2 linked regions of the Coturnix japonica genome follow. The protein of the gene in region 1 interacts with the protein of each later gene in a pairwise test. Links are inferred from orthologs where the notes say so. Each region holds a gene or a part of one and is shown in the gene's direction. Other genes may lie near its edges.

Region 1 (12,591 bases):
AGTGGAAAGGAATAGCAAGACGCTTCCTGCGATGCTTATTATTAAGGGTGAGCTGCGAACTCGAGGCGGGCAGTGAGTCAGCATCCTCTCTTGCCTCTGTCGGCACGGAGCTGTTGCTGGGGTTACTGGCACAGGTGGCAGCCATCAGCCCTGCTGCTATCCCCAGGCTGAGCACGCATCCCCAGCTCACCCAATGTAACATAGAAAAGAAAGGAAATGGCAAAACTCTTGATAAGGAACCCCCCCAACCCCCCTCCTCCAATCAGTGTGTTATCATTTGGGGTTTAGAAATGGGGAAATAAGAAGCAAATCACTTTTGCTTTTGCTTCGGATGTTGCACAAGGAGAAAGATTTTGGAGAATAGCTATGTTTATCGCCTGCAGATCCCTTTCATTATGACTCCATCTGCACCTGCCTTGTCAAAACGGTCACTGGTCAACACAAGGAGGGCCACTGCAGCACCCATGGGGCAGGTTGGTGTCACCCCATCGCCCAGCAGTGCCACCCCATCACCTTATGGTGTCCCCCCCATCACCCAGCATCACACCCCTGGGTCCCGATGAGAGGTTTGCTCCCAGCTCATACTCAGTGACTCATCAGCACCCCCTATTTTGGTGTCTTCCTCATTGCCAGCACCCCGTGATGCAGAGGGAATTTCAGAGCGAGTTGAAAGAGCTTCTCAGAAATGGGCTCTGCAAGAAAGGGGGATTCCAAACTTGTGCAGCTCCAAAGTAGGAGACAGAAATAAAATGCAGGGCTCAGCACTGGGTCATTGAACCTTTCCATGATGCTGCACAGGCTCCTGTGGTCCAAATTTCTGCTGGTTTGGGTTTCCCTGCTGGAAATGCAGACAGAACAGCCTTAGGGCAGAAGTGAATTTTTCCTGGATTTGGAACAATGACAATATTAGCACTTAGCTGGGTTGGGCTGGATCCAGGCTCCCCAGTCCTGCTGGGCACAGTGACTGGGATGCCATGGTACTCCCAGTGCAGTGCTTGCATGGAGCTGAGCTCCTCAAGCAGCCTCCATCCTGACACCACAATTCCTCAACTGTGGCTGATCATTCGAGATGTATTTGATATGAATCCCACCCCTCTGAACACAACAACGCAACACATCATTCCCTGTTCATTGCTCCTGGGCTGTGATGATGGCATTTCTACAAGCTCAGAACTGAGGCAGAAGGGACAGGGTGGGCTTCCATCATCCCCATCCCTTCCATCTGTCCCATCACTTCCATCCCTCCCATTGCTCCTTTCCTTTCCATCCCTCCCATCTCTCCCATCCCTCCCATCTCTCCCATCCCTTCTATCCCTCCCATCTCTCCCATCCCTTCTATCCCTCCCATCTCTCCCATCTCTTCTATCTCTCCCATCTCTCCCATCCCTCCCATCTCTCCCATCTCTTCTATCTCTCCCATCTCTCCCATCTCTTCTATCCTTCCCATCTCTCCTACCCTTCCCATCTCTCCTACCCTTCCCATCTCTCCTACCCTTCCCATCTCTCCCATCCCTCCCATCCCTCTCATCCCAGCTCCCCAACACCCATACCAGGGAAAACCAGGCAATTTCCATGACACAATTTGTTTTCCTGAGCACAACTGGCTGAGCAATGGCAGAAAGGTGAAGAGCACACGTTCTGAAAATAAACACTCGAGCCTTTACAAGGGCGCTTTGTAGTGCAGCACTGGCTTGTAGATTCTCCAGTATTTTAGTGCAAACCAAATGGAGCTATTTAAGAACAGATCTGTTTGTGCAGCTGAGCGGGGCTGGGCACCGATTCACCCAAATATCCTGAGTTTCCCCTTGAAAAAATCCACTTGAAATCTTGTTGTGAAGAGAGCGATGCTGTATTTTAGGGCACATCGCTCCAGCTGTGTTTGGATGGAGGGCAGTGGTTGGGCTTGGCTGTCAGAGGGGCTGCTAGAAGAATTATTGCAGCTGTTGGCTTTGCTTGGCATAAGTAGGCTGAAATGCCGCCATGTGCCAACTCGGATGGGGACGAGTGCCACCAAAGCCAAGCAGAAGTGACATTCCTGGAATAAATTATTCAGTGAAGCACAAGGAGTGACTTCTGCTGCCCCAAACGGGGGCTCCTGAGCTCTCATCCAGCTGGGCAATGATGCTCACCCCGCATCCCTCCAGCGCCCACCCTGCATCCCATGGACATCTGCCCATCCGTAATGAAAAGGCAGCGCCGCTGCCGCGCTGTCTCCATGGATTTGTGGTTAAGTTGCTTTGTGGATGTAATCTTATCACCTAATGACCAAATAATGGCATGCAACAGGAGCTGCGTAAGAAGCCGCTGGATATCATTTTGCTGTCATTGTGAAGGCCTTGGAATGTGATCCCCATTAAAGGGGGAATTTGCATTAACATTGTTTGGCCAACATAATCCCGCCCTTTAATCACATTTTTAGGATATTAAAATAGGCCTGACTCTAGCCTGAATTGTAACCCCTTGGTCCCCAAAGGACTGGATGGGATTGAGCTCCTTCAGCTCCATCACAGCCAATGGAGCCACTGTGTGAAGTCAGCAAGCAATGCAGAGGAATCTGGGGGATCTCTGCCCCATTCTTTGATGGCAGAGTTGGGGTCAAGGGATTTCATTTTCACTTACCCCACCCACTGAGAGCAATGACCCCTCTCTGAAGCCACTCTGCCTCTGTTCACTCTATTGCAACAGAGATACCCCCATGTTCCTGCTGCCTGTTGCATTTGTGCTCAGCACCCTGTTCGGGGTTTACCATCCCCACAGCAGTGAGCTTTGCCCATGTGCCAACAGTGAACCAAACTGCAGCAGTCAGAAAGCTCTGAGTTTTATTTCCCATCTCGAGTTTCAGTTTCTCTCTCATTTTTTTTTTGCAACCGCGAGCTGGGCGAAAGGCTGGCGAGGGATTTAAATAGACTGCAGGTGGGAGGCGAGAAGCGTTCTCCTAATGTACAGAGGAGAAACTGAGGCACGGAGAGACTTGAGGCTCTGCTCCTACGCAGCCAGACGGCTGTGGGTGCATCTCAGAGCTGTTGTGCATCTCTGCTATGAGCCCAAAGGCTGCAGGGTGGTCATTCCTGGCCCAGAGGCAGCCCTGTGCCGCTTCATCCCTAATTGCAGAGCCAATAACTGTAATTAAATCAGGGTTAAGCTGATAGGGAAGAACCAGCTGAAGGTTACGGGGTGAGCAAGTGGCTAAACGTGGCTGCAGGAAGAGGAGCAGAGCGTTGGTGCCCATTTGTTTGCTGTAGCTGTGTGTGACTCTGAGTTAATCATGAGAAGTTGGGTTGATGCTGAAGCCTTATTTACAAGCTTCAGCAGTGGGGAGTGACCCGAATGGCACTGTCAGCCTCTAATGTTGGCAGGGAAATAGGGTTCCTATGGATGTGAACAGCAAAGGTAGGGCAAGGTGAGCTCATGGCTCTGGAACGACAGGAGGAGCCACACGAGTGAGTTAATCGTGTCCCCATGAAGCAGCTGGAGCTTTGTGTGTTCCCTGCTGTGAGAGGAGAGACAATACATTTATGGTGCATTAAGGTATTATTGTAACAGCGTTAGCGCTGAAAGGTTTCTGATCCTCAGGAATAAAGAGTAGCAGATTTGTCCCAGATTTATCAATGGAGGCAGGGTTCCCATTCAGACATGAGGGAGGGCAGGGCTCCAACACGTGCTGGCAGCACGGCTGCAGGATGCACAGCTCTTGTGGCAGGCACAAGAGGATGCTTGAGATGGGCAAGGCTTCAAGGCAGGGGACCAAAGGCTGGGAGCAGTGGGGGGTTGGAATAATGGTTCCATACATGGGAGGGGTCTGTAAGGGTTCCTCTATGGTTGTGGGTGAGGTGAAGCTGTGCCCCCTCTGCCCCAAGAAGGCCACGAAAGGAAGAAAGGAGCTGTGCTGGCTCAGCTGCTTTGCAGGAGCTGCAGCTGATGCTGCAGGTCAGCCTGTAGATCATTGCACAGGGGAGTTTCCTGAATGGCTGTTAGGAATCAAATTGAATTTGTCAAGTCCAGATTCAAGATTAGAATTGGACGGAGAAGCAGAGAGGATCTCGCAGGAGGAGGAGGTGGTGGCCATCCTGCATTAAACAGAAAAGCCACAGCCTGGAGGAGCACATTTAGTGCTGTGCTTTGCAGGAAGGTGTTGAGGGCACCGCAGGGGTGTCCCTTCTCATGGACTCCTATCAGCATTGCTGTAACCGTGCTCAGTCTCACCCTGTGACCGTGCTTGTGCCTCTTGGTTTGGGGCACAACATTGCCTTGCTTGACCAGCTGGGGCCAGCGGCAATGGCCCCGCAGCAGCCCTGCCTGCAGCGAGCTGCTGGCCTGGCAGAGCTTAATTAGATTTGATGGGATTAGGTGGAAGCAGCGGAGGGGAAAACAGGGCCAGGAGGCCACGCGGTGCCTGGGGCAGCTGGGCTGGAGCCGCAGATCTCCAGGCTGATCTAAAGCAGCCGGTAGCTGAGGGGTTAATTCCTGCTGCTGCACTGAGCTGATGGGGACAACTCGATCCTGGTTGCAAGGGAAGGGATTTTCCTCTCTGCATCCCAAAGGTACGCAGCTCTCTGCAGAGCTGGCACTGATTTCCAGTGAGTTTCCCCCCCCCCCGACTGAGAGCTGGAGTAAACTGTTGCAGTTATGGAAGTTACGCCTTGTTGCCTCGAGCCTTTTGTCATCAATAAATGTTTATAGTACGAAGCAGCCTTGTTTGTTTGCCTTCGACCAGATGACAGTGATTTACTGGCAGAAATCCTAGCAGAGGAAAGAGATGAGCCAGACAAGTCCTTAAGTAAGTGCTACACACATGTATGGAGGGAGCAGATGATGCTCTGTTGTATGATCATGAAACCCATAGAGAGCAGAGCTCAGATTTTGGATGTGAACTGTCATTTCCAGGAGTGTTTTGCAGCCTTTGAGCAACCAAGTGTGAATGATGTTTGGTTCTCACTCTGTCCAGGTTGGGATAGGTGGGAGGTGCTGAGTGTTGGGTTCTTCTGCTGTTAGTTACAGTAGAAATGATGAGAGGGAGAAGCTGGACTCCTGTTGCCCGACTCCCTCATCATGGGTGATGTGCAGCCACGAGCAGGACGTGAAGCTAAGGATGGAGGTGACCATAAGAACATAAATCCATGCAGGGCAAGGTGCCACGGCCTGGAGATGGGTGTCCCCTGTTGCTGCTGCAGCAACAAGTGTAGTGGCCTCAGCCGCAGCATAGAGCAGTTCTCTATGGTGGGTCCCTCCTTCTGGGCACCTCCACCACTTTTGGGGGCAGAAGGTTTGGGGTTATTTTGCCCCCTACCAGCTCTATCAGCAAAATGAGGAAGGGAAGCTGGGCTAGCTCAGATCTGTTCCCATTTACAGTTTGGGCTCGGCTCCTACAGCAATATTTATTGCTGTTTTCCCCCATAGGTTTGTATATTTTGTACAGCTTGTTTCTAATTTCAAGTATAAATAAGTTTGATCTTTTCATCTGCTTTTTTTTTCCCCCTCTCCCTACCTTCTGGAGGCTGTGCTGGTTAAAAATAACAGCAGCAAGGAGCTGCAGCGGGGCTGATGGTGAGGATTTCACCTCCTCTGCAGTGGGGCTGTCGGGGTGGGATGGGATTGGGATGCCCTTAACACATCCCTGACCCATGTGGTCAATGTGGTCAGGCTCCTTCCCCAGCCAGGAACCCCCTGAGTTCCCAGAGCCTCATGGCTCATGGCTGAGGATAGGAGTGCTCCTGGAGAGTGACCAATAGGGTTTGGGACCTATTGAGGGGAGGGTTGCCCTTGGGTTACCCCTCTGTGCAAGTCTTGTGGGGATGGAGTGATTGCCAGCATTGGGATCCTGCAGGGAAGGCTTTCTGCAGGAAAAACAAAGTCCTGTTTGACCAAAAGTGAACTATTTGTCTGAAAAGACTGATTGAGAAAAGCCTTCCAGCTTCCTTGCAGGAAAGACTGCGACTGCCTGTACTGAGGGCTGAGCCAGCTTCTCTTCTCCATTGATTTTGCTGTGGGGTTGCACACGCACACTCAAGACACACACATGAACACGTGCACTCATGCACACTCATGCACACTGGCTTATGTGCACACACATGAACATACACACATGAATGCACATGCATGCACACAAGCATCCACATATGCACACATGCATGCACATAGGCGTGCAAACACACGTGTATGTGCACATACATAGACACACACACACATACACACACACACACGCCCTGCCTTGCAGGACTCCCCCCGCCGCTCTCAGCCCCAGCAGCCGCCGGCTGTTCCCCGCCCGCAGTCACCCCGCACCCCGGGCACAGCTCGAGCCGCTCCGGGGGCTCCGGGGGTCCCCGAGCCGGGCGGAGCCGGGGGGGGTGGGTTCGGGTAGCGGCGGGGCGAGGCGGTGCCAGCGCTGGGGGCGGACTTTTTGAGCGCAGCCCGGCGCCGCTCAGAGCCGCGGCAGCCGGGAGCGGGGCGGCTGCTTCTCCCTCTCCGCCCCGAGGAGGAGGAAGAGGAGGAAGAAGAGGCTCCGACCGCCGCCTCGCCGCTCCTCTCACCCTTTCCCCCTTCCTCCCCACACCTTTATGGACGAGCGCCGGAGCTTGCTGCACTCTCCTGCCGCCTCCTCCGCCGGCCGGCCCCCCAGCAGCAGCCACCACAACCTGGGCTACACCGAGCAGCCGCCCCCCGGCGCCCCGCAGCCGCTCCCCGGCCACGAGGAGGAAGAGGGCGAGGAGGCGGAGGAAGGCAGCATGACGGTGGTGGGGGGCTCCGGGGACCCTTTGCCGGAGGAACCGCAGCATCCGCACCCATTGCTGGGGGGGGAACGCTACGAGCACCCCGCGCCGCCCGCCGCCGGTCCCGCAGGGCACACCACGGAGGTCAGCGGAGAGCACGAGTGCTGCGAGCGGGTGGTGATCAACATCTCGGGGCTGCGCTTCGAGACTCAGCTCAAAACGTTGGCGCAGTTCCCCGAGACGCTGCTGGGGGACCCCCGCAAAAGGATGCGGTACTTCGACCCCCTGCGCAACGAGTATTTTTTCGACCGGAACCGGCCCAGCTTCGACGCCATCCTCTATTACTACCAGTCGGGAGGGCGCATCCGACGACCCGTCAATGTCCCCATTGATATCTTCTCCGAAGAGATCCGTTTCTACCAGCTGGGGAAGGAGGCCATGGAGCGCTTCCGGGAGGATGAGGGTTTCATCAGAGAAGAGGACAAGCCCCTTCCCCACAACGAGTTTCAGCGCCAGGTCTGGCTCATCTTTGAGTACCCTGAGAGTTCCAGCTCAGCCCGGGCCATCGCCATTGTCTCCGTCTTAGTCATCTTGATCTCCATCGTCATCTTCTGCCTGGAGACTCTGCCTGAGTTCAGAGATGACCACGACTATGAGGGAACCGGGGGGACCTTTGGGACGGGTGGTGGCCCTCTCCCACCTGATGTCTTCACCAATTCCTCGTCCTCGGCCGTTTCCATGGTGTCGTCCTTCACAGACCCTTTCTTTGTGGTGGAGACACTGTGCATCATCTGGTTCTCCTTTGAGCTGCTGGTGCGTTTCTTTGCCTGCCCCAGCAAGGCCACCTTCTCCAAGAACATCATGAACATCATTGACATTGTGGCCATCATCCCCTACTTCATCACCCTGGGCACTGAGATGGCTGAGAGGCAAGGCAATGGCCAGCAAGCCATGTCCTTGGCCATCCTCCGAGTCATCCGCTTGGTGCGGGTCTTCCGGATCTTCAAGCTGTCCCGGCACTCCAAGGGGCTGCAGATCCTGGGTCAGACACTCAAAGCAAGCATGAGGGAGCTAGGTCTCCTCATCTTCTTCCTCTTCATTGGGGTGATCCTCTTCTCCAGTGCTGTCTACTTTGCTGAGGCTGATGACCCTGAGTCTCATTTCACCAGCATCCCTGATGCTTTCTGGTGGGCTGTGGTGACCATGACCACTGTGGGCTATGGGGACATGTACCCCATGACAATTGGGGGCAAGATCGTGGGCTCCTTGTGTGCCATCGCGGGGGTGCTGACCATCGCCCTGCCCGTGCCTGTCATAGTCTCCAATTTCAACTATTTCTACCACCGGGAGACAGAAGGTGAGGAGCAAGCCCAGTACATGCATGTCGGGAGCTGCCAGCACCTTTCGTCTACTGAAGAGATGAGGAAGGCACGCAGCAATTCCACCCTCAGCAAATCTGAGTACATGGTGATAGAGGAGGGGGGAATCAACCACAGTGCATTCAAACAGGCTGCCTTTAAGACAGGCAACTGCACAACCACAAACAATCCCAACTGTGTGAACATCAAAAAGATCTTTACGGATGTTTAATAAACACAGAGCGGCGGCGAAAGCTGAGGACGTGGTTAAAAAAGAATAATAATAATAACAATGATGCAAAAGTGACCGTGTGTACTTGGTGTTGTGTGGAACATGCACCATCGTCCGTCTGTCTGCGCCCTTGTTTTTTATACGTTTATTTTTGTAGATCTTTTGGGGTTTTTTTGTTTCCTTTCTAAAGATCCGAAAGGGATTTAATCTTCTCCAAAGAAAAGAGGACGGTCGATGGGGACGGAGGAGGAGAACGAAGACAAATGGCACCGCTGGAGCAGGTGTCTGTTCTGCAACGTGTTGCGGGGCTGCCTTTGTTTCCTGGCTTTTGGGGACGTCTCGCTTTGCTCCTGGTTTGCTCCCCCCTTCCCTGCAGGCGGTGCGGAGCCCATTTCCCTTCCATCTCATAAGCTCACTTGTTGGATTAACGGCCCCGGATTGGGTGGGGAGATGAGGAAAACATGTTGCCGAGCTCTGGAAGGGGGCTGGGAGGAAACAACCCTTTCATTTCGCACAGTCCCCGTTACCACGTTGTTACACAGCGCTCAGTGCTGGGAGGTGGTGTTCCCTTAGGGACGCACCGCAGATCCCCTTTTCTCCCCCTATAGATCATTCTTGTCTGATCAGAAGCCGAATGCAATCGGTTCAAACTAAAACCCAACCCTCTTATTTTCCACCCTTCCCTTGCAGCCCTGGGCATGATTTCACCCAGCGCAGGGTCTGTGGGTCCGTGTGCTGTGTTGGGCAGAGCGGGATGGGGTGGCTGCATGAGGGCTGTGATTCCGAGCTGCCGAGCTGCAGACAAAGGGATGTTTCCACCTTTTCCACCGCGTCTGGGAGAGATGCAGCTGCTTATGGCAAGGAGATTAAAGTGGTGAGCACGCCTTCCAGCGGAAGTCACTAATTCGGACCGGAGTGATGCAGTTGCTATGGCCACCCTGGTTTCCTGGGAAACCCCAAAAGGTTGTCATGGCATCCCTTCTCCCATCCCCCCCTCGGCCCTCACCCTTCCCTCCAAAGCCCTTCCAGATGGTTCCAGCCCCACCACCCCATGGCTCTGTACCGCACGGGGATCCCATCCTGCACCCCCATCCGTGCCCCATCCTGCAGCCCATCCCCGCAGCCAAACACCCACCCGTAGGCAATAAGCACTCCCCACATCCCCCTCTCCCTCTCAAAGGAGTTCACACCTTGGCGGTGAGATTTGGGAGCCTGCAAATATGAGTGGAGAAAGGACCGCCTTCACCTCACCTGGAGCAAAACCCCAAAGTGTCCTCCAAGGGCAGAAATGAAAGCTCAGCCATGAAAGCTCAGCAGCCTTTGGAAACCATGGGGACAAATGCAGAGCTAGAAAGAGCAAGAATGCAATGTAAGCCCAAAGTCGCCAGGGAAAATGTGCCTCCTTCATCCTTCTGTGCACACCGGGGGCTGCAGGACATCTGATGGGATCAGGTGAGCTTTGCAAGGGGGGGAGAGGTTTTCTTTTGCATCATTGCTTTTTGGAACAAACCTCGTGTTTCCTTCTGCATGGTGTCGTTTTCCAGCTCCCCTTGGTGTGTTTTTTGTGCACTTTGGGTGTCATGGGAAGGCAGCATCCTCTGATTCTTTGTGCTTCTCACTTTGCTGCACACTGAGCTCTGGGTGAGCAGTGCTGGGGTAAAGCTGTGCTGTTCTGTGCAGGGATCTGTCCAAAACTGTGCAAAAAATGAGAGTTGTGTCAGTGTTTTGGTGCTTTGGGTTGGTCCACAGTGGGGCTGGTGGGGCTGTGTTGTGTCCCAGTTGGCTTTGGGGTAAGAACAAAATGATCTGTCAGGTGAGGAGTGCACAGGAATGCCAGCAAAGACAAAGGACACCTGGAGCCCAACCTGGCTGAGTTGTGTGTTTCCTGAGGGGATGGAAGGGAGGTTTTTGACCATGCTGGAATTGGGAATTTTGCTGGGAATTCCCTCAGGCTTTAAAAGGATTGGGACAGTTTGTGTCACATCACGCTGCCCTTCAGCCCCAGCACCCCAACCAGTGAATAAAACACTCCAAACCAACAGGAAACATCCGAGCAGCTTCTTCACTAATGGCATCTGACGGCTTTATTGGAGCTGCAGCAGTTTCCCCAGCAGAGAATCTACCCCAACCATGGTGAGGGCGATGATCTGCAACCACACAGAGCTGACAGCCCCTCACCCTGACAGCATCCCAGAGCACGGGGCAGCAGGGAACCCCAAGGCACCTTCGCCAGCAGGCTGAGCTGTCACAGCCGGCTGCGAGCTTTCCCTTCTGATGGCTATCAAAGCTTTTCTGCATGCCCCATCCTAAAAGAAGGGTTGGAGCTCAGGGCAGTGGGAGCTCAACCCCCTCCTCGCTGAGTTTTATTGTGATATTTTTGCTGTGGCAGCTGCACGGATGGAAACCACACGTGTGCCTGGAAACAGCAGCGCAGGCTTCTTAGTTTCTGTGCCACTTAAATAAGCAAGAAACCACACCGCTCGTTAGTTTGCTTTCCTGGCTGCTTCCCCTCCTCATTCGGTGGGGGCAGAATAGCTTCAAACACATTTTGCTGACAGCAAAAAGCTCTTTATCACAGAGGTGCTAAAGAAGCCGAATCATCCGCCGTAGTTTTTCAGCACTGAATGGCACCGCTGAAAAACGTCAAAGAGCTGAAGGCACGCACAGAAATGGGAGAGGGAGCAGAAAAACGGGGATATCCCTGCTGTGCTCTGCCCCATTTCTGTCTGCTCCTTCCCTCGGTGCTGTCAGTTTCGCTGGGTGCCGTTTGCTCCGTGGTCTGACAGCTCCGCCGGGCGCATCCTGCCAGGAGATGCAAAGTGCTGCCAGACAGCTCCGTGGCAGCCTGCAGGGATGGAGCGCCCTGTGCTGCCTTACAGCTTCCTTCCATGTGTGTTCCTTTGCTGCCTTGCAGCTTCCATCCGTTGTGTGTTCCTCTGCTGCCTTGCAGTGCGCATCAAACCGTGGTGTTGGTGCTGTTGCTCTGGGCGCAGCAGAGCACACCGGGCTGTAAGCTTGTCTCAAAGCAGGTGTCACCCTGGGCTGCTGGTGGCTTTTAGGGTGCCCTATGGTCTCTGTCTCCCCATGGGTGCATCACCTTTGACACAGGAACCCCCCCCCAACCTGCCCTTTCTGCTTGATGCTTTTCTCACTTTTTTTCTCCTGTTTATTTACACTCTTTTGGCCTGGATTCCTCCAAAAAGCTCCATTGCTCCCCAGCACAGCACATGCCCTTCAGGTAGATGGGATCTGTCCTGCTCTGGGGTCACGGAGCAGGGCTGGGGTGTCCCTTTCCTCCTGCAGGGTCAGATTTCTTTAGGCAATTGTTTCTGTTCCATCCCTTGACAAAGGGACAAAGGAAGCTGCTGCTTGTTTTTCATCCCCAATTTAGGAACAGTTTAGTGGGGATGAAGGGCAGAGCAGCAGCTTCCTCAGCAGAAGGGAAGGAGCCCTCACCCATCACTAAGGGGTGTCCCGGCACAGCAGAGCATGGGGTTCTGATGGTGGTTTGTGTGTGCGGAGGGCATTCTGCATGAAATCTGTTTAATTGTGTAGTTTGGAGCCCTCTTCCTGCCAAGCTTTTAAAATATGCATATCTACGTGCAAGCACATCCCAGCCCGACGTGAGGCAGTGCCTTTCTCCATATTTAAATGCTTTAACAGGCTGCAAACCTGTGGTGCAAATGAATGAGGTAGGATTGCACCTGGCAGCGTTCTACCTTTCGGTCTCATGCATTTTGTGTAGGGGAAGGAAAGCTCAGCAATGGCATCCTTGTGCCAAGGCATGTGTGTGGGCAGTGGATGTAGAGGAAGAGGTGTTTTGAGGACATCATGGGATGCCATGGGAGAGCAAATCCTGTGCATTCTTTCACTGCCATGGAGCTGGTGTTCTTCTCTGCACCCTGCTCTGCTCTGGGTCTTCTTCTTTGGGCAGCAAAGTGCAGCTGGGGACATTTGGGTGCTGTGGTTCTGGGGACATTTGGGTGTCCCCTGGTGCTGGGAATCACTCCCCTGGTAGTGGGGATGGGGCTTAACAGCATTTTGGTGAGCTCTGATGTAGGGTTTTCTTAGGGTACGGCATGGAGCTGCGATGCCATTGCATTGCACGGGGCATGTTTGCTCCTGGGGGGAGCCCAGTGGAGCTGCCCCAGTGAGGGCTCTGCAGCTCATAGGACAGAGCCCCAGGCACAACCCAGAGCTTTTTCTCCCATACTTGGCTTCCCAAGCAGGAAAATGAGTAATGTTGCCTCCGTCAATGCGATATTCATCCCTCCTGACGGGACGCGTGTTTGCT
Region 2 (12,485 bases), on another chromosome or scaffold:
TCAGAACATCCCTGCAGCTCTGGGACCTCAGACCACACATTCACATTTAATGGAAGCCAAAGAATGGTCTAAGCCCTTTATTTTTACAGGGTGTGATCTTTTCCCCACCTGCAGAGATAAAACTAAGGCTGTTAAGCTGTATTAACTCCCTTTTAAAAATACAGGGATAACAACATGTTGTTTTTTTTTCTTCAAGCAAATGAATATGGAACACAATGAAATTCTGGATTCTGCTGGCGTTGTCTGTTAGTACACTGTGTTCATGAAGACCTGCAGTGAGCACACACAGCCACCAGTTATGCATTAAAAACTGAGGTGCTTTCTTCATGCAGGGATTTACAGCTGAGGGGTGAATTATTAAGGCTATTTTTAACCAAGTGACACTGATCTTCCAAAGCTTATTTCAACAAAAAGAAAATGTCTTCTGTAGAGGCAATCCAGAAGAGCTAGGATAGGTTCCGGCTCTGAATCATCCTCCTGAGAAGAGTTTTCTGCAGTGATTAATGCAAAATGTTTGTCTTGGCCTGGGTCCCTTCCTCTGCTGCATTAAAAAAAAATAAAAAATTGTTTCCTCTAAAAATTGTGCAGGCCTATGGAAGCAATCTAAGTATCTAAGCAGCAGAACAGGCTCTCCTCCACCTACATCTCTCATAGTCTCCTAGTTTAGATGTTAGGAGGAAATTCTTTAATCAGAGGGTGGTGAGGTGCTGGCACAGCTGCCCAGAGAAGCTGTGGGTGCCCCATCGTTGAGGTTCTCAAGGCCAGGCTGGATGGGGCTGTGGGCAGCCTGAGCTGGGGGGTGGCAACCTGCCCATGGCACAGGGTAGGAATGAAATGGTTTTTAAGGTCCCTTCCAACCCAAACCGTTTTATGATTCTGTAATTCTATGATCTCAGTGACAAAAAATCATATCTTATATAAGCCTCAGGGAGGGGGTGCTTGACTCCTATGAGAGGGAGTAGTTCTCAGATTGCTCTTTCTGCACAATACAGTTAATAACTTGTTAGAACTGGCTGAATGGCACAGAGTAGTGTCGACACCAAGCAGCATTCATGGCCCAGCTCAGTACTGACCAAGAACCTGATATTGAAAAGGGTTGAGAAAAGAGTGACCCAAACTGCTCAAGGTCTGGAAAACTTAACCTTCAGCTGACAGAATTAAGGCTTTCAATCTGTTTTCTGCACCAACCAAGTGGTTACAAGCTACCTTGATTGAGACCTATGGGGACTAGCTATAATAAAATATATATATGCCTAACACAGAATTGATAGGCTTTTAATCCAAAAACTGTAATCCCTGCCCAGATGCCACCCAGCTAGAAACATGTTTAAACTCAGAAGGCACCTCCCTTTCATGTAACCTTCCCTCAGTACCTACAGTTCATGCCTAGAACTGCCCTTGTTTGAGCAACTTGGCATCTCACTCACATCCAAGCCCAATCAGAATCCGAAAGTAAAGGAAGAGAATGCCCTGGTCACCTGAAAATAGACTGACTGCATGTCGGCAGAGCGGGGTACTTCCCAAAATGTGCTTTCCCAGGAGTCCAAATGCATTAACACATCTCAGATAGCAAAAACTGATCTCGGGTCTCTCAGTTGTCAGATTACACTTCTGGCCCTCAGGCTGTTGTGAAATGTGCTGTGGCAGCAGCATCTCCATTTAAAAGGGAATCGCTCATAGCTAGAGGTTATGAGAAGAAAGGAATGTGAGGGCAGCTCACCATCTCTCCTGAGCAAATGTCTCCTCTGACACAAGGAATGGTCCAAGTAACAAAAAAGCATTCAAGAGAGACAGTCCTATATTCTGATATGGGACTGAGGCAAGGGCACCCACATCAGTGAAATAGCTCTGATTCAGTGAGCTGTAATTTAAACCATGGATAGCCTCCAGAGTGGGGACAGAATAACTGTTGTGAGTCTTCTGAGAATGAAAGTCTGTAAGACGTGGAGCGAGGAAAGCACTGTTCTGTGCTTTAAGCCCATTGCGGTGCCTGTTATCAAGCAGCAGGGTAAGCGCTGTATTCAGAGCTGATAAAAGCTCGCTACCAACAGCTCTGGCAGCTCAGGCCTTCAGCCAGCAAACCATCTCCATCCAAAAATGCACATAAAAGGATGTACTTCAGCAGCTGAACAGAAGACACTAAAACCACAGTGATTTTCCCCTCCTAAGCCTTAGGTTTTGAAGCATGCTGCATAAGGAAGGCTGCTCATGGGCAGGCTGTTATCTGACAGCCTCACTGCTGCTGCAGCTGTACATAAAGAATACAGACTCTCAGCTGATCTGATTCCAATCTCTGGCATTGTCATGCAAGTATCAGGAACATCGCAGAGACCATAATTGGAATAATTACACAACTTTAGGGGGAGGAGTGGAGTGAGAGGCAGTGTTTGATACCAGACAAAGACACACAGTGAGCAGCCATACACATTTAGTTCAGCCTTGTGACTCATTTTCTGACAGTATTTTTTGAGGAATTTTTTCCAATCCAATTTTTGCTTTTTGGAAGATACGTTTCCTGCCAGTACTAAGGCTTTTCTTCTCAAAATCAGAAGAACTGCTCCCACCTCGCACACATGTGGCTCTATATTTACAGTCAGTTCTCAATTAAGGCAATTCCAAGGTCTGCAAGTTGAGTTAAAGCAAAGCTTTGGAGAATAAAATGCTTTTAAAATTAGACTTGAAATAAGTAGAGTTGGTGTGATGGAAAAAGAAGAAGGGCAGCGAGGTGGCCAGCTAGTTACCACATAACTCTGCTCAGCAGCTGCCCTGGGCTGCCAACAGTGCAGCAGAGCTCAGTGAGAAGAAGTTTGGTTGGGTGTCTGAGATCTGTGGCAATTTTAGGCCACTCCTGAATAATCCATTCACAGCAGGTAAGAATGGAGCACAGGCTCTGTGCTTTCAGAAGGTTCCTGCAAGCCTTTGCCATGCCCTTTCCACATGAGCTATCCTGCTCCTCTGTACAGCATCACAGCTCTTTGCAGAGCTCCTTCGCTCCTCTGCTGGGATTCATCTCGTGAAGCCTATCAATTCCTCCTGCTCCCAGTATCTCTTTAAACTGTAGCAGTGTTCTATGATTCAGAAACGTCTTCCAAATGGTGCTGAAGTTCTGCAGAAACCATTCCAGGAGTCATTACTGTTTCAAATTAACCAATAAATTTCCTATTTTTAGTCATCCTTGAGACATGCAGTAATACTGAATAAACGGGTCAAGATCTTCCTTTCAGTACTTGAGGGGAGCTTATAAGCAGAAAGGGGATGAAATTTTACTTGGGCTGATAGTGATAGGACAAGGGGAATAGCTGTAAACTACAAGAGGGAAGATTTAGGTTAGATGTTAGAAGGAAATTCTTTACTCAGAGGGCAGTGAGGCGCTGCTACAGCTGCCCAGAGAAGCCGTGGGTGCCCCATCGCTGAGGTTCTCAAGGCCAGGCTGGATGGGGCTGTGGGCAGCCTGAGCTGGGAGGGGGCAGAGAACAGAGCGCAAACACCGGCATCCCACTGCACCTCTCAGAGTGAAGTCCCAGCTGTTAACGTGCATGGCAGACATGGGTCAGCGTCCTCCCAGGAAAAATACAGCACATTTAGCGTGCGGGACTGTCAAATATTTGCATAGTTTTGAAGTGAACCAGTTTAGAAAATCTCTTTTTCTTCAACCCAAAGATGTCCAAGTTTCCACGATCGCTCCCGGGACAGTGCGTGGACCATTGTCAGAGGAGGGGGGGGCTCTACCAACGCAGCACTGCTCGTTTTCCATCTCCTCACCCCTTCACGTCCCCCCATCCCCAGGGGCTCTGCCACACGCGGCCACCGCCGCCCCCCGCATCCCAGCGGCGAGGACCCGCTGCCAGGGGACGGCTCGAGCAGGGCAGGGTGGCCCCGGTTGTTGTGGCTGCGGCTGCTGTCGCTGTCACCGTCGCCGCAGCTTCCCATGCAGCCGGGGCCGCCCGCTCTCCCGCAGGTCTCCGAGGCCGGGTCTCTTTCCCCTCCCACCGCGGGCCGCTCCCGGGCGCGCTGCGCGATGCCGGGCCGTTCCGCCGCTTGTCATCAGCCCCGGCCCGAGGCGGGGAGCAGCTCCTGGCCGGCCGCCAGCCGCCTCCCTTCCCCTGGCCGGCCGCTCCGCCGAACGGGATCCTCCTGCCTCCGCTGCTCAGAGTTAGAGCGCAGAGCAACCTGCGGCAGCGCCGGGACAGCATGTCTGGCACCAAATACGTGGACTCGGAGGTAGGACGAACCGGGGGATGCACTCGGGCTGCTGCCGGCGCTCCGCGGCGCGGCGGGACGGGACGGGACGGGACAGGACGGGGAGCGGGGTTGCGGAAAACGGGACGGGACGGGATGGGACGAGACGTGACAGGACGGGATGAACGGCGGGCAGGGGATTGGGGGCTGCCCCGGGGCTGCAGGGCGAGGCCACGCGGTGAGGGTCACAAACCGAAGGCGGGACACGCGGGGCGCAGCGCGGGGGTTTCCCTCTGCACCGGCTCCGGCTCCGGCGCCGGGGCAGAGCAGCCTCCCGGGGCGGGCTGTTTGTCGGGCGGGTGGCAGCGCTCCGTGCCCGACCCGGGTGGCGCGTGGGGGGCGCGGCGGGGACGCCTGGCGGCGGCCGTGGGAGCGAACGTAGCGTCGGGCGCGGGGTGTGGTGAGAGCCCCGCCGCACCGTTAAATAGCCCGGGCTGCCGACCGCCGCTTCGCACCGCGCTCCCCGCGGGACCGGGGCCGCCCCCAGCCCGCCCTGCCTCCTTCCCTCCTTCCCTCCCTCCATCCCTCCCCGCCGGCTCTGCCCCCCGGCCGCTCTCCCTCCCGCAGGGCTTTCTGTACGCGGCGCCCGTCAGGGAACAGGGCAACATCTACAAGCCCAATAACAAGATGATGGCAGACGAGCTGAGCGAGAAGGCGGTGCACGACGTGCACACCAAGGAGATCGACCTGGTCAACCGAGACCCCAAGCATCTCAACGACGACGTGGTGAAGGTGAGTGGCCGGGCCGGGACGGGACGACCGCTTTCCTCCACCTGCTGCGGGAGGGAGGGAGCAGCTCACGATTTCTTTTCGGCGTTGAAAAGAGAGGGGAGGCTCTGAGCCCGGCTGCCCCGAGCCGTGTGCCCAAGGCTGCGGACCTCGTGCGGGCGGCTCCAGCCGGGCTGAGCAGCGGGATGGGTCGCCCTCGGCCAAGCGGCTGCAGAGGTGGTTTGGGTTCGTTTGCTTGGTTTGGTTTGTGTTCGTTTCCGTGCAGTTTTTCCCTCTGTCGGGAAGTGAGTAAAGGAAGCCAGGCAAAACCGGACGGGGTCCCTTTCTAGAGTCTTTCTTCTGGTGTTTAACTCACTTGGACAGTTTTGACACATGTGGAGTGACGGACACTTTTGCTTGTACTCGCTTTGGTCAGAAAAATCACGAGGCTGAGTTTTCTTTTAGCGGGAGAATTTTATGCTGTTTGTGTGAAAACAGGGACACTGCCACCTGAGCTTACCAGGATCCAGCAAAGCCAAGGGCTGCCCAGTCAGCTGCAGTGAGTGAGAAAGGCACTGGAGTGCTTAGTGCCAGGCATGGGCTCCCTGAGCAATGGGGCTGTAGAGCAGGAAGACCTGGCCTTAAAAAAAGATGAATGTTATATTGTTTCTGGGGGGGGTAAAATGATTGGAAAGCAGTTCCTAAATGTATGTCAGGGGTATGATTTGTGCCATGTGCGGACAATGCAGAAAGGTCTTGAGTAACCTCAAATCCCACTGACTTCTAAGGAGCTTAGAGGTGCTGAGTATGACTGGCCACGTTGCTGGATCAAGAATTGGAATTTGGGCTGTCTATTTTGTTAAGAGGGCCATTGTCCAAGATCTAGAAAGAAAAGGGATGAAGTTTCCATTTGCTTAGGGGGAAAATAATCAACTGTACCACTTCCTAGTGGTACAGAACTTCCATTAAAGTGCTTGCTGTTAGGAAGGAGGGAACAATCCTTTTATCTGCTACCCAGCAGCTGGGTAGCAGGAATGTAGGAGCTGGAGAACAAGGCTTCCTAGTGGCTCATTGCGTACATCAACAGAAGGAGTCCCCAAAGCAACCAAACCTTCCAAGGATGAGTCACAGCCCCTAGGCAGGCCGGAATTTGAGTGTCCAGACTTAGCCTGGGGATAAAGATCCTGCTGGGACAAGATGCAGGCTGCTGGTGGAAAAAACTCCTAATGGACAAAAAAGAAGTGGCATGCAGAGCCTGTCCTGCTTTCTCTGCCTCTTTTAGGAACAATGATTAAGAAAGTTAGCTCGGTAGATTCAATAATCCAAAAGACTTTTAAAGAATAAGAACTTAGGAATGGAAAAATCAAGCTTTTCAGTATGTCCCTCCAAGATAACTGTGGACCATCAAATGTGTTCATCAAGAACCAGCAAGCAGCCAGAATAGCGGTACCATGTCTTGTATCCATGAGTTCCTGGTAGTGCACAGAAGCATATCAAGACACAGTGATGTGCCAGAATAAATGTTAACCACACAGTATCCATTTTGCATCCTAAAAGCAGCGGCATTTTTTGTTCTGTTTTTTTTTTTTTTTTTTTCAAAGCGGACATTTCAAAGCAACATTTTCCCATCTTCTCACAAGGATGAATAAGAATCACTTTGATTTGTTGTAAGCATTTTGTAGGTAGACCCAACCCTACCAATACAGAAAGGAATTTTGCTACACTTTGAGTTTGAACACTTCTTTCAGGTTCAGCTTAGAAGTAGCTGCAAAGTTTAGATCCAGTTCCTAGGGGGCAGACTCTCACTGAGGAGAAGGCAAAGATTCAGTTCCTGCCTCAGCCACTAGTCTATGACCTCTTCCATTATGTTATCTAGAAAGTGTAAAAAATGTACCTGAGTAACAGGCGTCTTGGCGTACTGGAAGACAGAAGAAATCATTCTTTTTTTTTTTTTAAGGCCTGAAGCATGCCCCAGATGTAACTCAGTTTTGTGTAGGGCCATTGCCTTTTTCTAGATTCAGAACCTTCTGCTTTGTAACCAGAGTTTTATGCATTTCTTGCCACTTGACTATGAGACACAATAGCATGGAAAATAGGGACAAATCAGTCAACCATGAAATAGAAATGATTAGACAGAGAATGAGGAATCTGCTCTGTAAGCAGCTCTCTAAAAGGCCTCAGTGTTGGCTGCATTCAAATACTTCCCATAGCACATTTTAAAAATAACACTTGCTTGTAAGAAGCAGCGCATGTTCCCTTGGAGTGCAACACTGAGCATCTGCAGCTTTGTCCACAACAGATAAATGGGGCAGGCAGCAGCAGGGCAACAATCCAGGCAAGAGAGAGAGAGACCTGATCCAGATCCTTTAAAATTGAATTGAAACATTAAATTTTTATTAAATAAATAATAGCAAGTGGACACTAAATGCTCTGTTAGGTTTCTAGAGAGGTGGGGAAAGCAACTGACTCCGTATTCAGAAAGGGTTGAAAATGAGGCTTTACTGACCTTGTGGTGTGAAAGCTGAGGTCCACAGTCAAAGTTGTTGGCAGCTCCGTGCAGGAGGAAGCACAATCTAGTAAAACCACCAGAGTTTCCTTCCTGTTCTAATTCCTTCAGCAGGGAGCGGAAAGGAAGGAGTTTCTTCCTCATATGGCTGCCCTCATGCGTCACTTTGGGATGCCAACAATGTGCAGCGTGGTCCCATTCCTTGAGGCATCAGCTTCTGGAGTTGTCTGTCAAACAGAAAGCAGAATAGGAATTTAGCAAGGGAGAAGTATCCTCTGTGCACCTGGGAACTCTCTGAGAGAGATTTTGATTATTATACAGCTATTTCCCTCAAAGTTATATCTATTTCGTACAGCAGATTCCAGTCCATTCTTCTATTCCACAGCTTGTTTATGTGCATTGAGATGGAACCAGCAGAATAGAAATATTATTGGTTTGTGGTTTTGGTTTTTTTTCTCCTGTTTATCATTCCCTCCCCCATTGATCTAGGCCTCACATAAAGTTGCCTGAAGTTCTCTTTCACGTCTTGCACAGTCTTTGCTCTTCCTGTTTTCCAATGCAATATTTGTGTTTTCCAAATTGTGGCTGAAATTACAGCCTTCCAACTCTTTGCAGTTCAAAGTTTTTCAAAGTATCTGTGGCCAACTCTGCAGAGTTTGTTGAATTAGGAGGAAACATAGAAGGCTGCTTTCCTGCAGCCCTTGGAGAGGCTGGCGTGTGCTTTTCAGCACTTCCTCACTCCTTGCTCAGGGTAGAAATGGACCAGGCACCCAACCCAGCAAACTCTACTCCTTCTGGACTAGTGAAGATCCAACATGTAGTCACATCTGATTGCAGTTCTTTCCTGTAGTGTTGTACTAGGGTACTGCTGTACCATCCTGAACATAATTACTGTTTTGTTTCTAACAAATGGCATCTATCTGCTGCTGTTGTGTAAGCACCCTTTTCTCTGGAAAAATATAAAATGAAATAAAAAATCCAGAGCTTGGCTACAGATGTAGCAATGTGGAACTTTTGTATCAAGTTTTAAACAGCCCTGTTCCTGCCTTCTTTCTTAAAGCCAATGCAGTTACGGGCAGCTTTGCTCGCTGTAAGGCTGGGTTGGAATTTTTAGTCAGATCTTGACAAATACCACAACACCATGATGTAGGCATTAGTGAGCACAGTGCTGCTCAGCCATTCTGAGCCATGCTTAAAGCAATTTATGATTTCTACAACTTTCTTATAAAGTAATAATAATAAAAACAATTTGCAATTTTATTTACTTAATCCTTCACAGATGTGGTCACTCACTGTTGTGCTGAGCACAGTGCTCAGAAAACTGACTAGTCCGCACCTCACACATCCAGGCCTGGGAGCCTACTGGAAGGAAAGTGGGTGCTGTCCCCATTGCATTTGCTGAGGTAGGAAGGGTAAGGCACTGAGGGCTGTCTCTGGTGTGACAGCATGGAGAACAGAGCTCCTGCCCTTCAGATAGCTGAGCACTCTTTAGAGGAAGATTGGCGTATGTGTAGGCCTAACCATAGGATAGCATGAGTGGTTCTCCCAGAGTGTGTGTCTCTCTCCACTTGGTGATAAGTGCAGCTGCAATATGTCACAGATGCATTCAAAGGAGATAACTGTGAAACTTTGCACCTCTACTAATGGCCAACTGTGGGTTTCAGATTTTAAAATGCAGCACTATTCCAGTGTTTTGTTATCTGCATGATACAGTTCTGTTCCAGCTATTCCCTCCAAGGTTAGTGTAGGATTCAGAGATTAAAACTCAAATTGTTACAAAGGCCAGTTTGTGGGGGTACTGAGTGAGGGCTGAGAATTCTGAAACGGATTACTTGCACAGGAACTAGAAGTTTCCAGACTGAAACACACGGGATGTTTGTATATCCATAATATTACAGATAGCGATTGAATTTGCTCTAAACAAGTCTCAAATCCCAAACAAAAGCGTTTGTCTTTGAGATTATAGTATTATTAAAGCCTTGTGTATTGCATTCTTAACGTGATGAACATGACTCATAACTCCATGTTCACTTGATGACAATGAGGAAAGAGCCAACTATTCAACATAGGTTTTCCTTTTGTTAGAGTTTATTATACACTACCTCAGATTCAGAGAAGACAAATATTTTATCTTTCTGTCAGATGCAACGCAATCCAGATTATATGTTAGAAAATATAAGAAGAATTTGAATCCATTTTAGAATTTTTAACACAATATATGGATAGAAACACCATCTCCATTGCAGAAGGTAAGGGTGTCTAATACTGAGAAAAGTACTGAAATCTAAAACTCTCCAGTGCGAACAGGGAAAATGTGTGTGACAAAGTGGCTTTTCCATTGGATCCCCAATAAGAATTTGATCTTTGGTGTATTTTAAGCAATAGAGAGAAAAAAAATATAAACAAAGGCGGTTGAATCAATATAATTTGAGATGTTTGGAAAGCAGAAGAGAAATACAGCTGTAAACTAAGGTTTCTGTTTCCCACTGTCCTCAAATATCTTTGTAATAAATAAACAGTGGGATGAAATCTACATCAGCAAGTTACTTTTTTGAGCTATTTGATCTAGAACTGCCATTTACCTTTTCCTGATATTTTTAATTAAAAAAAAAATTGTAGAACTAAAGAGATTTTATTTCCTTCTTTGAAGATAAGTTACGCCATTAGGTTTATTTAATTGCTTGGAGGGCCAGGGTTAACCCTGCAAGAATCTGTAATTTTTCTAAGAAATTTCTTATGAAAATACTTTTTAATAGTTTCAAAATTAACTTCTAATCTTATGCTATGTTATTCTTGTCAAAGTTATGACATCAGTTTAGTATTTAACAGGATATAATCTCAGTACCACTATGCCCACTCTAGTGAATACATCAGATGAAGTTTGCACCCCGCTTTATTCATGATTGACAAGGAGTTATGCTATAGATGCTAGTGGAGCTGTTCAGTGAGGCATGCCTATATTCTACTCACCCGACTCATGTACTTCCATTTCAAATAAATGGGAACTGTTAAACTCAGCTTCTCAAATAAGAAATGAGAAGATGATACTGCTGCAGCTAAAGGTGGAAACATCACATTCCCTGCCCAAAATCCTGCTGTGCTGAACTTAACTCAGAGTTTCCAAGAAGCCAACAGAGCCTCATAGAAGGGCTGCAGCACTTCCTCTGTAAGCTCTAAAACACCTCAGGACTGAAACAGATAGTATAGAAACATATTCACATTTCCCTCAAGTTAATGTCTCCTGTAGACTTCAGTCTCAAAGTCTCCTATCATTTTAGGAAATTCAGTTTCATTTATCTCTTTTCCAGTGCAGTTTATGATAAGACTTTAACAGTAGATCAGCGAAATCTTGATCTTTATGAAATAGTAAATAAATAAATAGTTGTCTCATAATGAAGCGTCAGTAACTTAAGATCTTCCAGTACAAAGAGAATGTTCTAGCAGTAGAAACGCAGAGGCCAGTCTCTTTGGCAGTAACACAGAGTTAGCTGGGCACACTGCATGCTCACTGTCAGCAGTAAGCAATCCAGACAGAAATGAGGGAAGTGGACAGGTCACAAAGATGTGCTAAAATAATTGCAGCAATTAGCAGGAATTTGTATGTGCATAGTATACACAGCTAAGAGTCACATTAGACTCCCTTAAAAATGAGAAAAAGAAAAAAAAATCAATACTAGATATAAGTACACTAATGCAGGTTCCTGTCTCTCTCCATGTGCTACTAAGAAGTCTGAGGTCACTGTAGTTCCATTTCCCATTAGTGTCCATAGAAGGACATCAGGTCTGTGAAACCACCAACACAAAGCATCATAATCATTTAAAAATTTGTTTGGAGGACACCTGTTCTTTTATTAACGTTTCTGAATCCTGGTTAAATCCAGATCCCAGAAGAATCAATAAAAAGCTCTCATTATTTTTAGTCTCATCCAAATTCCACCTTGCTGTTCATATTGATGCATATGTATCCTTAAACATATAAACACGAACAAACATATGAACATGCACGTACACAGAGACATATCAGAGTTCTTTACTAAAGTAGCAGCATCAGATGAGGTGAAACTGTGCAACATGAAACATAATAAAATGAAGAAAGCTTTGTAAGAGTTCCATTTGTGGAAAATTGCAACCACCCTCCAGCAGCTCAGTTTCCAGGGATGAAAACAGCCACTTCGTTTTCTGCTCACTGACAGCACCAAACTGTTTTTTATGGAACTGACTGATGTGATATCCCCACCTGCACAGGAAGCTTAACTGTGTTTCCGCGGAATGCAGATGTCTCCTTGAAGCTGCTGTTCTTTCCTTCTGCTGGACTATACTAAGAAGCACAGGCAGTGAGGTCTCTGGAGGATGCCTCCTTGCTTCAGTGCTGACCCACTGCCACAGCATCATTTTTCCCATGAATACTTCCACGGATTTAGATGGGCCTGTCTGTGAAGACAGAGCCCATCACAAAGGCTTTCTTGGTATGTGATCAGTAATTCAGCATGTTCAAGGCTTGTTGTCTTGGTAATTATCACCAAATTTTGGCAGTTGTCATCGATTTTCAGGTTGTGAAGTTGTGATCTTGCAGTCATGACTCTTTTCTAAGTCATGGCATTATATTAAGTTGCTCACAGCCCAAATGAATGTGTCTTACTTACCTCGAAGAACAAAGTATTTTCACTACTCAGTAGTGGCCATTCCTGACAGGACATGGTTTTCTTTTCTAGTCAGAAGAGCATAATCCTTCAATCCTTCAATCCTTCAACCTTCAATTCTGTTTTTCAACACAAGTATCCTTGTTTGTTAAAACATGCTTTGCTTTTTCAGCATTCTCTGTAGCATTCAGGAAAGTTGCACTCTATCAAGAGATTCACAGGCAGAACACTCAGTTCTTGCACTGTGATGGAAAAGAGACACAAGGAGAAAGGAAATGTAACAAAATCTCATTGGTCAGTTTGAACACCTAATGATAGTCACATGGAACCTGGCTCATTTCTGGGTACAGCTGGATGCTCACATTGTCACCCTGCCATAAGGTATTTTTTTG

Evidence for each region.
Region 2: the proteins of potassium voltage-gated channel subfamily A member 3-like (region 1) and CAV1 come close enough for resonance energy transfer, tested with the Homo sapiens proteins (2 studies listed by BioGRID). The link is inferred for Coturnix japonica from reciprocal best matches to the Homo sapiens genes KCNA3 and CAV1.

Annotation. Positions count from the first base shown.
Region 1 is NC_029541.1:1,848,209-1,860,799, reverse strand, and holds the start of potassium voltage-gated channel subfamily A member 3-like, read left to right. Parts: upstream 1-6,383; 5' UTR 6,384-6,554; coding exon 6,555-8,297; 3' UTR 8,298-9,749; intron 9,750-12,591.
Region 2 is NC_029516.1:22,494,904-22,507,388, reverse strand, and holds the start of CAV1 (caveolin-1), read left to right. Parts: upstream 1-4,041; 5' UTR 4,042-4,191; coding exon 4,192-4,221; intron 4,222-4,806; coding exon 4,807-4,971; intron 4,972-12,485. UniProt on the Homo sapiens protein: May act as a scaffolding protein within caveolar membranes. Forms a stable heterooligomeric complex with CAV2 that targets to lipid rafts and drives caveolae formation. Mediates the recruitment of CAVIN proteins (CAVIN1/2/3/4) to the caveolae.